Rattus norvegicus: one gene and its partners. The protein of the gene in region 1 purifies or fractionates together with the protein of each later gene. This does not show direct contact. Links are inferred from orthologs where the notes say so. Each region holds a gene or a part of one and is shown in the gene's direction. Other genes may lie near its edges.

Region 1 (3,519 bases):
TGGAAGCAGAGAAGTGTGCCGGCACACCCAACTGGGCTTGCTTTAGTAATGAGAGGATTAGAATGCAATTCTGCGGTCACCGAGGCTGTCTCATGTGATGCTCACTGATGGTTTTGTGGGGTGTGGAGTAAATTACATGTGGGTCTGTTTCATGACATTGAAACTCTTGTAAAATAGCAGGCAGCCGGGAGGGGAAAGTAGCCTAGAGACGACTGTGTGGCGGCCATCCATAGACGTGCTGACACAAACCCCAGAGCACAGGCATTGGCAGGTTCCTTCTGCAAGTGTCTGCGCATGGGGGATGGAGTAGGAGTGAGGGGGTACGGTAGAGAGAGGAGACCATGGGCCCCAGAGTGGGAAGGACAAGGAAAACCTGTGGGAGGGAGTCTGAGACAGAGAAAGGTCACCTAGCGCACTGTGTGAATCTGGGGCTGGAGAAGTGGAGAACAAGGGGCCTTTAGAAGTTTTGTACTCAGTGTGGAGAGAAAGTTGTATGTATGATCTTTGTTTTGGGCAAGCAGCTAATGATCGTAGCAGAAGGTAGCCAGAAAAACACTCCATGCTCTAAGGTTAGGACCTTGGGTCAAGGAGGCAGCTGCAACAGGACAGAGAGGCACGGACTCAGATATCTGTCCGTAGGTCTTTCTGGATACTTCCCGGTAAATGCAGCACAGAAAGCAAGAAGTCGCATGGGTCCCATAGCAGGCAGGACACAGGAAGTACATGGCAGTGTTTCAGGTGTACCAGTGGGAACACTCCCCATCCCATCAGTTGCCCCAGAAGCTTCATCATGTTCTCATCATTGATCATTTCCGCAGGAGGCATGCTTTTCCCAGTAGCTTAGCCTCACTTGGTGTACATACTATCCTCCTGGAGACCTGTGGTTCTGGGCGTCCTCCTTTGAAGTGAGGAAGGAAACCTGTAGTCCTAGCCTTGGGGCATTGCAGCTGTCCTTCCTGAAGTTCATCTGTAGTAGCCCCTCCCAAAGGCACACTCAGGAGGACCTGCTGAGGAAGAAGTATAGGCTGAGGAAGGGGAAGCTGGCATGTTGCCACAGGCTTGGAGGGTTCCTTCTGGTCCTCCTATAGTGCTTGCCCTTCTGGTCCTCCTATAGTGCTTGCCCTTCTGGTCCTCCTATAGTGCTTGCCCTTCTGGTCCTCCTATAGTGCTTGCCCTTCTGGTCCTCCTGTAGTGCTTGCCCTTCTGGTCCTCCTGTAGTGCTTGCCCTTCTGGTCCTCCTGTAGTGCTTGCCCAAGAGATGAGGCAGCAAACAGGAGCCCATGCAAATAAACGCCAGGTTTTCCCGGCATCTGCCTTTGAACGTGAAAGCATAAAGGACTGCAGGAGCCTGACCCATGCTGACCCCCCACCTAGCTCAGAGTAATAGGTATTCATTTGGTGGCTTTTGAGTAGCTAACATAGGCCAACCCAGTATCTTTCTTCCTCTTGACTAAAGTGTGACCTCACTGTCAGAACTTCATCCTGGAAACTCCGCCTGGGCCCAGCACCCTTTCCTGGGCTGCTTCTCTGCCCTGCTGACACCTGACACTGGGGTCATAATCTCCCCACTGTACTCTCCCTGCTTTTATCATGCTATCATGACCTTTGTGCTGTGCTTGTGCCTGCTGACCAAGTGCTTGGGACCCTTACCAGCTCTGCCACCTCCCAGCTTCTAGGTCAGATTCCACACTTAGCCAAACCCATAGTCACCCATTTGGTTGGCCCCATGCTAAGGCAGAGCCATGTGCCCTCTCCTGCATACAAGCACCCATCTCTGAGCATGCACGCTACCCTTTTCTGTTCTCTCCTGAGTGTGTGTTGGATCAGATGGTAAAGCGGCTGAGCATGAACCCAAGTTCTCTGTGGATCAGGACCATTTCCTAGGGGATGCGCCAGCTCCAGCCAATCAGGGATCTGCCAACCTCGTCCTCACACTCTCTTTGTTCCCCAGGTCCCGGTCCTTCTCCTCGTCCCCATCCCCATCTCCCACACCTTCCCCACACAGACCTCCAGTCAGAACCAAGGGGGAGCCGGCCCCGCCTCCCGGGAAAGCAGGGTGAGTCCTGAGCCCCTCCACAGGTCACTGTGGTGCTCCACCTCCGTGGGGTCTCCAGGGCTTCCAGCCTTCTCCACTCTCCCCATCCCATGCTTGAACTAGAGTGAGCAGCCTCCAAGGGGCAGCAGATATGGCTCCCAGGTGGGCGGAGGTGCGGGCTCAGCACCTACACTCGGGTTCCTGTGGCATGGGACCTTGGCAGTCATGTGCTGTGCCTGAACTGCAGAGCCCTGAGATGTGGGTGTATTAAGCAGGGACCCTGGCCCTACCCTTCCCTGACCCTGCTTCTGCCTCACAGGGAGAAGTCAATAAAGAAGCCAGCCCCGCCCCCAGCCCCACCACAGGCCACCAAAACTACTGCACCTGCTCCTGAGCCTGCCAAGCCTGGAGATCTCCGAGAAGCCAGGAGAAAGGAACGGCAAACCAGGACTCCCCCAAGGAGGTGAGCAGTGTGGACTTACAGCAGTCCTGGTACAGTTCTCCTTGTCCTTGGTGCTGCTGGGTATAAATGCTGACGAAAACTGGAGACCAGGAGGTGGGTACATCCCCAGAGAAGCAGCAGGGAGCCGAGGCCCAACCTGGAACAGGCCCATTACCAGCCTGGTGTGCAGGAAGGCTCTCTCCATGAGGCGCCTCTGAGGAGACCTGTGCTGCTTGTGTTGCAGGCGGACGCTCAGCGGCAGTGGCAGCGGCAGTGGTAGCAGCTACAGTGGCTCCAGTTCCCGATCCAGGTCACTTGCTTGGTCCTACTCCCTATTGACCTTTTCCCTCCCTCACCAGGTGGGCTGACCATGTCCGGGGCTCTTCAGTGTCCAAGAACACAGCTCAGGGTGACCATGGCCTCCCTCCCTTCACACAGGAGCACCTTCCTAACCTGAAGGGAAGAGCCCTAGACTGGTCCTTCTACCCAGCTGGACAAAGCTGAGGCCGGTCCCAGGTTCTCTGCCCACAGAGAACTGAGGAGAGACTGGGTGTTCTCTGGGCCTGCCGCTCCCTAGTGGAGGGAGTCAGCCCTGAAGTAGTTGGGAGGAGAGAGTTAAAAGAAAGAGTTAGAAGGTGGAGTCAGCTTGGTGCTTTTGGAATCTGGTTGATCATTTTTCCTTCTATCCTTGAGCATCAGGGCCTTAGCTTTTGTCCAAGGCTTTAGCAGTCTAGACTTTCAAAGACCTGTGGGGCTTTTATTTGTTGGCTTTTTGAGACAAGGTGCCCAAACTCGCTCTGTAGACTAGGCTGACCTGGAACTCATGGAGATCCACCTGCCTCTGCCTCCCAAGTTCTGGGATTAAAGGTGTGTGCCACCATGAACCCTTGGTTCTGTCTCTCCCTGTCTCTGTTCCTCTGTTCTGTCTCCTGATGACCTTAGAAGAAGCTGGTTGGTGTTTGTGATAGACACGTCATGGCTCTGCTGGTCAAAACTGTATCACCATCTACTCTCCCCATCCCACTCCACCCCTGTGCCTTGT
Region 2 (3,519 bases), on another chromosome or scaffold:
TGTTTTTCTTTGTTTTAAAAAATACTTCTGTGCTGCTTTTGTGTAACTGGTCTGTTTTTAAGAGACAACATTTGAACTTCAGTGTTCTCTCAGCACTCTAGACCCAGGGCCCCTAGAAAACAGGAGCTGTGGTACCTGCGTGAGATTCCAGGAGAGATGGTTCCTTGCAGTTCTGCTCACAAAACGTGCTCTGGCTGTCTGAGGACTTGAATGTAAAACATTCACTAGTGGTGGTTGTTTGTCAGCCATGTCACCTAGAGATAGCAGTGCAAACAATGATGTGCACCTAAGTAGCATAGAACGTTTTATTTTTTAATTCTTTAATTTTGTTTACAGTCAAGTATTTATCTTCCTTCAAGTCTATCCTCTGACCTCATCCCATACCTCCCCCACCCCAGTAGATCTCCCCACTCCCTGAGGCCTCAAGTCTCTCTAGGGTTAGGTGCATCTTCTCTCATTGACACTAGACCATGCAGCCCTCTTTTGTATATGTGTTGGGGGCCTCATATCAGCTGGTGTGTGCTGCCTGGTTGGTGGCTCAGTGTCTGAGAGATCTTGGGGTTCCGGGTGAGTTGAGACTGCTGGTCTTCACATGGGGTTGCCCTCCTCCTCAGCTTCTTCCAGCTTTTCCCTAATTCAACCACAGGGGTCGCCTGCTTCTGTCCATTGGTTGGGTGTAACTATCTGTGTCTGACTCTTTCAGCTGCTTGTTGGGCCTCTCGGAGGGCAGTCATGCTAGGCTCCTGTCTGTAAGCACACCATAGCATCAGTAATAGTGTCAGGCCTTGGGGCCTCCCCTGAAGCTGGATCCCACTTTGGGCCAGTCACTGAACCTCCTTTCCCTCAGTCTCTTCCCCATTTTTGTCCCTGCAGTTCTTTCAGACAGGAACAATTCTGGGTCAGAGTTTTTGACTGTGGGATGTCAACCCCATCTCTCCCCTTGATGCCCTGTTTTTCTACTGGAAGTGGACTCTACAAGTCCCCTCTCCCCACTGTAGAGCATTTCATCTAAGGTTCCTCCCTTTGAGTCCTGAGAGTCTCTCACCTCCAGGGTCTCTGGTACATTCTAGAGGGTCCCCCCACCTCCTACCTCCCATTCTTTCTGCTGGCCTTCAGGGTGCATAGAACTTTTTAACTAAGCTACTCAGGACTTCTCTGTCCTAAGACTAGGGTGATGAGTTTATATCAGGGTTGCCCATGGCTAACCTCTTGTCCTCCTAGACCATTTCTTATCTGTCATAAAAAGGATACCACAATACTGCTGTTTAGCCTAGCTTACCTAAAACACAAGGCAAAACTGGGCATGGTTGAGCCTGCCTTTTTTTATCTCCTATCGCCTAGAAGGTAGAGGCAGGTAGGGTCTCTGAGTTTGAGGCTACCCTGGTCTACAGAGTGAGTTCTGGGCCATCCAAGTTTACTTAGTAAGACCTGTTCTCAAGGGGGGCGAGGGGGGAGGAAAAAATATAAGGCAACATGTTTTTCTTGTTGTTTACCTAGATACCAATGAGCTACCTCCCTCCCTCGACAGCACCTTAGCACTGTCACTCGGTATTGTGTTTCCTGGCAGAGTTTCAGGTTGGAGGAAGAGTATTGAGAGCAACAGGGCTGGTTGGGGAATAATTAAGATGTGCAGCACACAATTATCCATAAACTATTGGTGTATACAAAGTTATGCAGAGTTGAAATCTAATTCAGCTGGCTTTCTGGTATGCATAGGAAGTTTTGAGTTTTTAAAGAAAGCAGTATTTCAGTGATGAGTCCATGTACATTGGTCTGCACACCTTGACTTAATTACAAACTGTCAAGTTGTCAGAGCTCTGCATGCTTTGTTACTGCTTCAAATTTTATTAAAATAAGCAAAAAACAGTCTAATGAGTATGTATAGGAATTTTTCACTTCTAAAAGAGTAATCTTTAATCTAATTGTTCTTTAGTGCTTCCTTTAAGGACATTAGGGACAGACACAGGGCATGACAGGATGTGTTGCTGTTTTCCTGAGATATTTAGTTTTCTTTTTCAGGTGGCTATCATCCAGTGAAAATCGGAGACCTCTTCAATGGTCGCTATCATGTCATTAGGAAGCTAGGATGGGGGCACTTTTCCACCGTCTGGCTATGCTGGGATATGCAGTAAGTATCCTTTGTCATCATGTGCTCTTGAGTTATGCTGCACATCTGCCGTCTTTACTGGCTTTACTGCTGTGAACAGACACCATGACTGAGGCAATTCTTATAAGGACAACATTTAATTGGGGCTGGCTTACAGGTTCAGAGGTTCAGTCCATCAACATGGCAGGAGCATGGCAGCATCTAGGCAGGTGCAGAAGGAGCTTAGAATTCTGCATCTTAATCTGAAGGCAGCCAGGAGCAAACCTTTTCTAAACTGGGCAGAACTTGAGGATAGGATCTCAAAGCCCACCCCCCTCAGTGACACACCTCCTCCAACAAGGCCACACCCACTCCAACATTGCTACCCTCCTAATTGTGCCACTCCCTGGACCAAGCATATACAAACCACCACATCCGCTTTTAAGAGGATGTAGTCAAGGGTCATGCTACCTGGTGGCGTGTGAGGCGCTGCTTAGCACAGGCCCTGCAGTATTAGATCTTCACCCCACTCTTACATGCCTTCACTTATATTTTTAAACAATGCTAATTGTAGTTTGTGAGCCAGTTTTTTTTTTTTTTCTTTATCTTTTTTTCGGAACTGGGCCTTGCGTTTGCTAGGCAAGCGCTCTATCACTGAGCTAAATCCCCAACCCCTGTGAGCCAGTTTTTAAAAATTGCTTTACATCAGAGCCTGTTACTTTTCTATTCATTAATTCATATCAGGAAAAAAAAACCCAGATACAAATTGAAAATGTATAGGTCTTTCAACTCAGTGTTCTGTGACATTGTTTAAAAGCCACATGGACGAAGGCAGGAAGCCTCATTATTGCACAGCTGACCCGTTCATGTGTAGTTGTGTGTTTGTGTGTGCATATGAACATACATGAAGCAATATAAAGGAATACTTTTCCCTCAGTGCTGTTAGCTGACAGTTTTCCTGTCTACCTGTCTTAATTAGAATTGAAACAGCAAACATAAGGCATTGTCTAACCCATGAACACTTATTTGTGTTGCCCAAACTTGAAAAGTGTGATTTTAATTAAATGTTATTACTGTATGTATGAATACATGATATATGTGGGGTGTGTAATGGTGCATTTGCTGCAGCATGAGGACAACTTTGTAGAATGGCCCCAAAATGCTATTTTAAGGGGAAGTTTACTGCAAGGGTCAATTTGTTGCCTGCTAATTGGCTACACCCACTGTAGAAATCACTTCTTACACTGGTAACATCAATAACCATGCTTTGTTTTATCTAAAGAGGGAAGAGGTTTGTCGCCATGAAAGTTGTAAAAAGTGCACAGCATTATACAGAGACAGCCTTGGATGAAATTAAATTGCTCAAATGTGTAAGTAAGCAATACATACTGAGTAATAAAAAGTAAATGGCTAACTACTGCATATACCTTACT
Region 3 (3,519 bases), on another chromosome or scaffold:
TTATGGTAGCTCATCATGACATTATGTTTTAGAAAAGCAGCAGAATATTGGAAGAAAGGGTGGAAGGCACGTCACAGTCTGAACCTTCCGTTTAAAGGTGTGCACAGACTTGCCGACTTCATTTCCTACTTCACTTATCAATGGATGTCTGTTTTATATATCCATATATTTGAAGCATCCATTAAAATTTCTTGAGTATCTGGAGTCATGAACAGAAAAAGTTTGGTCTAAGTAAACATTATTGAAGAGGTAATACAGAACATGTTATATAATACCAATTGAGAGACTTAACTAGGTACATTATTAGGATAAACCATCAGCTATTTAAAAATACTATTTATGTGTATGTGTGTATCTCTCTGTGTGCCACATTTATGTGGATGCCTTTGGAGTCTAGAGGACTCCCTGGGCTCCCTGGAATCGGGTGGTAATGGATGCTAGGAGCTGAACTCTGGTCCTTTCAGAAAAGCTGCCTGCATTCTGGACTGCTGACTTCTCTGCAGTCCCATCATCTGCTGTTTTTTAAAAAGTGATTTATATAGCAGCATAATTAATATAAAAGTTAATGGTATGTTTAGTGATCTGGACTGTGTTTCTGATGAACATGTGAGGCTTGTGCTTTTCTGTTGTTGCTTGCTTTAGTTTTTCGTTTTTTGTTTTTTTTCTTTTGAGACAGGATCTTTCTGTGTGTAGTCCTGGCTGTTCTGAAAGGCATTCTGTAGACCAGGCTGGCCTCGAACTCATAGAGATTCACTTGCTTCTGTTTCCCAAGTGCTGGGATTAAGGCTTGCACTGCATACCTCCCCACCCCCCAATCCCCAACTTGTGAATCCTGTGCTTTTACAACACTGTTATATCTCACCTCTGGATTTTAAGATTGTTGTTTTCATTTTAAGCCAAAAAGAAAAAAAAAGTATGTTTTGAATTGAAAAATGTTTTACTTAAAGTATGTTTCGTCCTTTTTATAGCAAAGTTCTCATATAGATGTGGTTCGTTTTCCATGTGTGGTTTATATCAATGAAGTCCGAGTTATACCCCCGGGAGTACGAGCCCATAGTGGCTTACCTGACAACAGAGCATATGGGTAAGTCAACTCTTTTTTTTTTTTTTTTTTAAACTTAAATGTGCTCTACTCCCCACAGCCCTGTGTATAGTGTGTTGAGACACTGGAAACTTGTATGTCTCTCTGTGTGTATGTGTGTGTGTTGAGACACTGGAAACTGCTAAATCATTTGAACATAATATGTAGTCCAGGCTGACTGGTCTTGAACTCACAGTGATCTGCCTGGCTCTCTCTCCAGAGTGCTGTTATTTAAATGTGTGTGTCTCCATGCCCTGCCATATGTGTTTTTCTGATTTTTAATTTATTCGGTAGTGCTAAGGATCAGACCCAGGGTTTATCGTATGCTAGGTGAGCGTTCTATCATTGACCATTCCCAGAACAGGTGAAGTGATTTTGAGACTTTTTCTTTTAAAATAAAAAGAATTAATTTTGTACCTAATATATATGTGTGTGTGTGGATATGTATGTGTTGTCTGTGTATATGTATGTGTACTGTGTGTGTGCCTATAGAAGTCAAGAGTGGTCAAATCCCCTGAAACCGGATGTAATGGATGCTTGTGAGCTGAGTTTCTCCAAGAGTAATAAATGCTCTTAACTCCTGAGCCATGTTTCCAGCCCCTCATTTGAATATTTTAAAATGTGCATTTTTGTTCATTTTAGGGGTAGGGATTAACTTAGGGCCAGTGACATATTCTACAGTGTTCTTTCCTTACCTTCCCTTTCTTAAAAACTTAGTTTGAGATAGTCTCACTAAGTTGTCCAGGCCAGTCTTTAATGTAGGACTGTACCTTAGTCTCCCAAGTCGCTGACTGTAGACGTGTACTACCAGTCTAGCTTGTACCATACATGTGACTTTGTGTATTTGTGTATGTACACATGCAGGTACATTTGTATCAGAAGCCAGAGGCCAGCATTGGGGTCTTCCTCATGCTCTCTCCACGTTATTTTTTAAGATATTGTCTCTTGCTGAAGTGTTTGGCTTGACTGGATCGCCATCAGCCCCCGGGATTTTCTAACCTCGGATTGCCTGCACCCAGTGTGGTTATAGACATATCTGGCTTTTATGAGGGGACTGGGAGTGTGAGCTCGGGTCCCCATGATTTTGTGGGAGGTACTTTACCTATTGATCCACTCCCCAGACCCTATGTCTATACATATGACTTCATAAATTTCTAGCTTCAAATGAGCCATTGATTGTAATTAGCAAGTGATTATGTGTTACATTCTCTTTCTTGGGTTAGTGGGAAGTAAAATGTAAGACCATTGTTCCTGACATTAGATAACTTTAATAATTGACATAAAAGAGGGTTTTGATTTTTGTGATGTCAATAATCATTATTTCCTATTTAGTTATCTAGCTTAGAGATAGAAACTGTAGTTTGGCTGTGAAAATGTGAATATATATGATAAATGAATTTTTTAAAGACCTTTTAGCTTATAGCATAGGCACTGGTTTTGTTTATTGATACATTTCATTTTATTGATACTATTTGTAATTCCATTTCTTTTATATAAAATAGTTCAACCTGCTGCTTCCTGGTGAATATTATGGGACAGATTCAGGGTCAAAGTTCATTTCTTCCTAATTGTGAAAATTTTTTGTTATTTATAGAAGTAGATGTAGAAGTCTTCAGAGGTGTCATTCAAAAATTACAATGTAAAATATAAAACAATCATTAATTATTGTTTATAATAGAGCTCATACATTTTTTCCATGTTTAAGGAATTTAGGAGAGATGAAATTAGGTTGGTTGGTAGAGTACTGGCTTAGCATGCACAAAACCCTGCATTGACCCCCAAGCATAGCATAGAATGAGAGTGGCATGCCTATGATCAGCATTGTGGAGCAGAGCCTGGAGGATTGGAGCTTAAGACCGGCTAGGGCATCGTAAGATGCTGTGTGGAAAAAACTACCACAAACACTGACTGAAGTTTAAACTGCACGGGGAGACGTGCGTGCATTTCTGGCACTTGTGAGACTCAGGCCTTCCAAGTACTCTTTAGCTCCATAGCAAGTTGAAGTCCAGATGGGGCTACAGGATACGTGGGATTGGTTAAGTTCTGTCTGCACAAGGTATGAGGACCTGAGTTTAATCCTTAGCATCCTGTCTATAGTCAGGATGCGGGTCAGAATTGTTATGTTACCTCTGCTGGGAATCGGGTGGAGAGTTTGCTTGGAGCCATTCCTTAGTAGCAGATATTCTCTGTGGAGGTCCATCATGCTCAAGCCATAGCAGAGCTTTCTCCAGGGTGAGCGGGACACAAGTGAGCATTCCTAGGAAGCCGCCTCAGGTAGTGTTCCTGTAACTGATTATTGGAAGTGACACGCTGAGAGTTTTACTATATTTTCTCAGTTATAGATTCTAGACCAGTATAGAGACTGAACAGATTCTGAGTAACAGGAAGCATGGGTCACTGGAGACATCTTGAAGCTTGGCTACCACAGCAGGAAAAGT

Evidence for each region. The genes of interacting proteins can lie anywhere in the genome.
Region 2: the proteins of Zc3h18 (region 1) and Srpk2 purify together in Homo sapiens (affinity purification with mass spectrometry; 3 studies listed by BioGRID and IntAct, with this or other methods). This does not show direct contact. The link is inferred for Rattus norvegicus from reciprocal best matches to the Homo sapiens genes ZC3H18 and SRPK2.
Region 3: the proteins of Zc3h18 (region 1) and Virma purify together in Homo sapiens (affinity purification with mass spectrometry; 3 studies listed by BioGRID and IntAct, counting the BioPlex papers as one, with this or other methods). This does not show direct contact. The link is inferred for Rattus norvegicus from reciprocal best matches to the Homo sapiens genes ZC3H18 and VIRMA.

The regions. Positions count from the first base shown.
Region 1 is NC_086037.1:67,380,030-67,383,548, forward strand, and holds part of Zc3h18 (zinc finger CCCH domain-containing protein 18), read left to right. Parts: intron 1-1,951; coding exon 1,952-2,056; intron 2,057-2,354; coding exon 2,355-2,498; intron 2,499-2,721; coding exon 2,722-2,787; intron 2,788-3,519.
Region 2 is NC_086022.1:12,502,740-12,506,258, forward strand, and holds part of Srpk2 (SRSF protein kinase 2), read left to right. Parts: intron 1-2,019; coding exon 2,020-2,128; intron 2,129-3,368; coding exon 3,369-3,456; intron 3,457-3,519. UniProt on the Homo sapiens protein: Serine/arginine-rich protein-specific kinase which specifically phosphorylates its substrates at serine residues located in regions rich in arginine/serine dipeptides, known as RS domains and is involved in the phosphorylation of SR splicing factors and the regulation of splicing.
Region 3 is NC_086023.1:29,765,089-29,768,607, forward strand, and holds part of Virma (protein virilizer homolog), read left to right. Parts: intron 1-968; coding exon 969-1,084; intron 1,085-3,519. UniProt on the Homo sapiens protein: Associated component of the WMM complex, a complex that mediates N6-methyladenosine (m6A) methylation of RNAs, a modification that plays a role in the efficiency of mRNA splicing and RNA processing.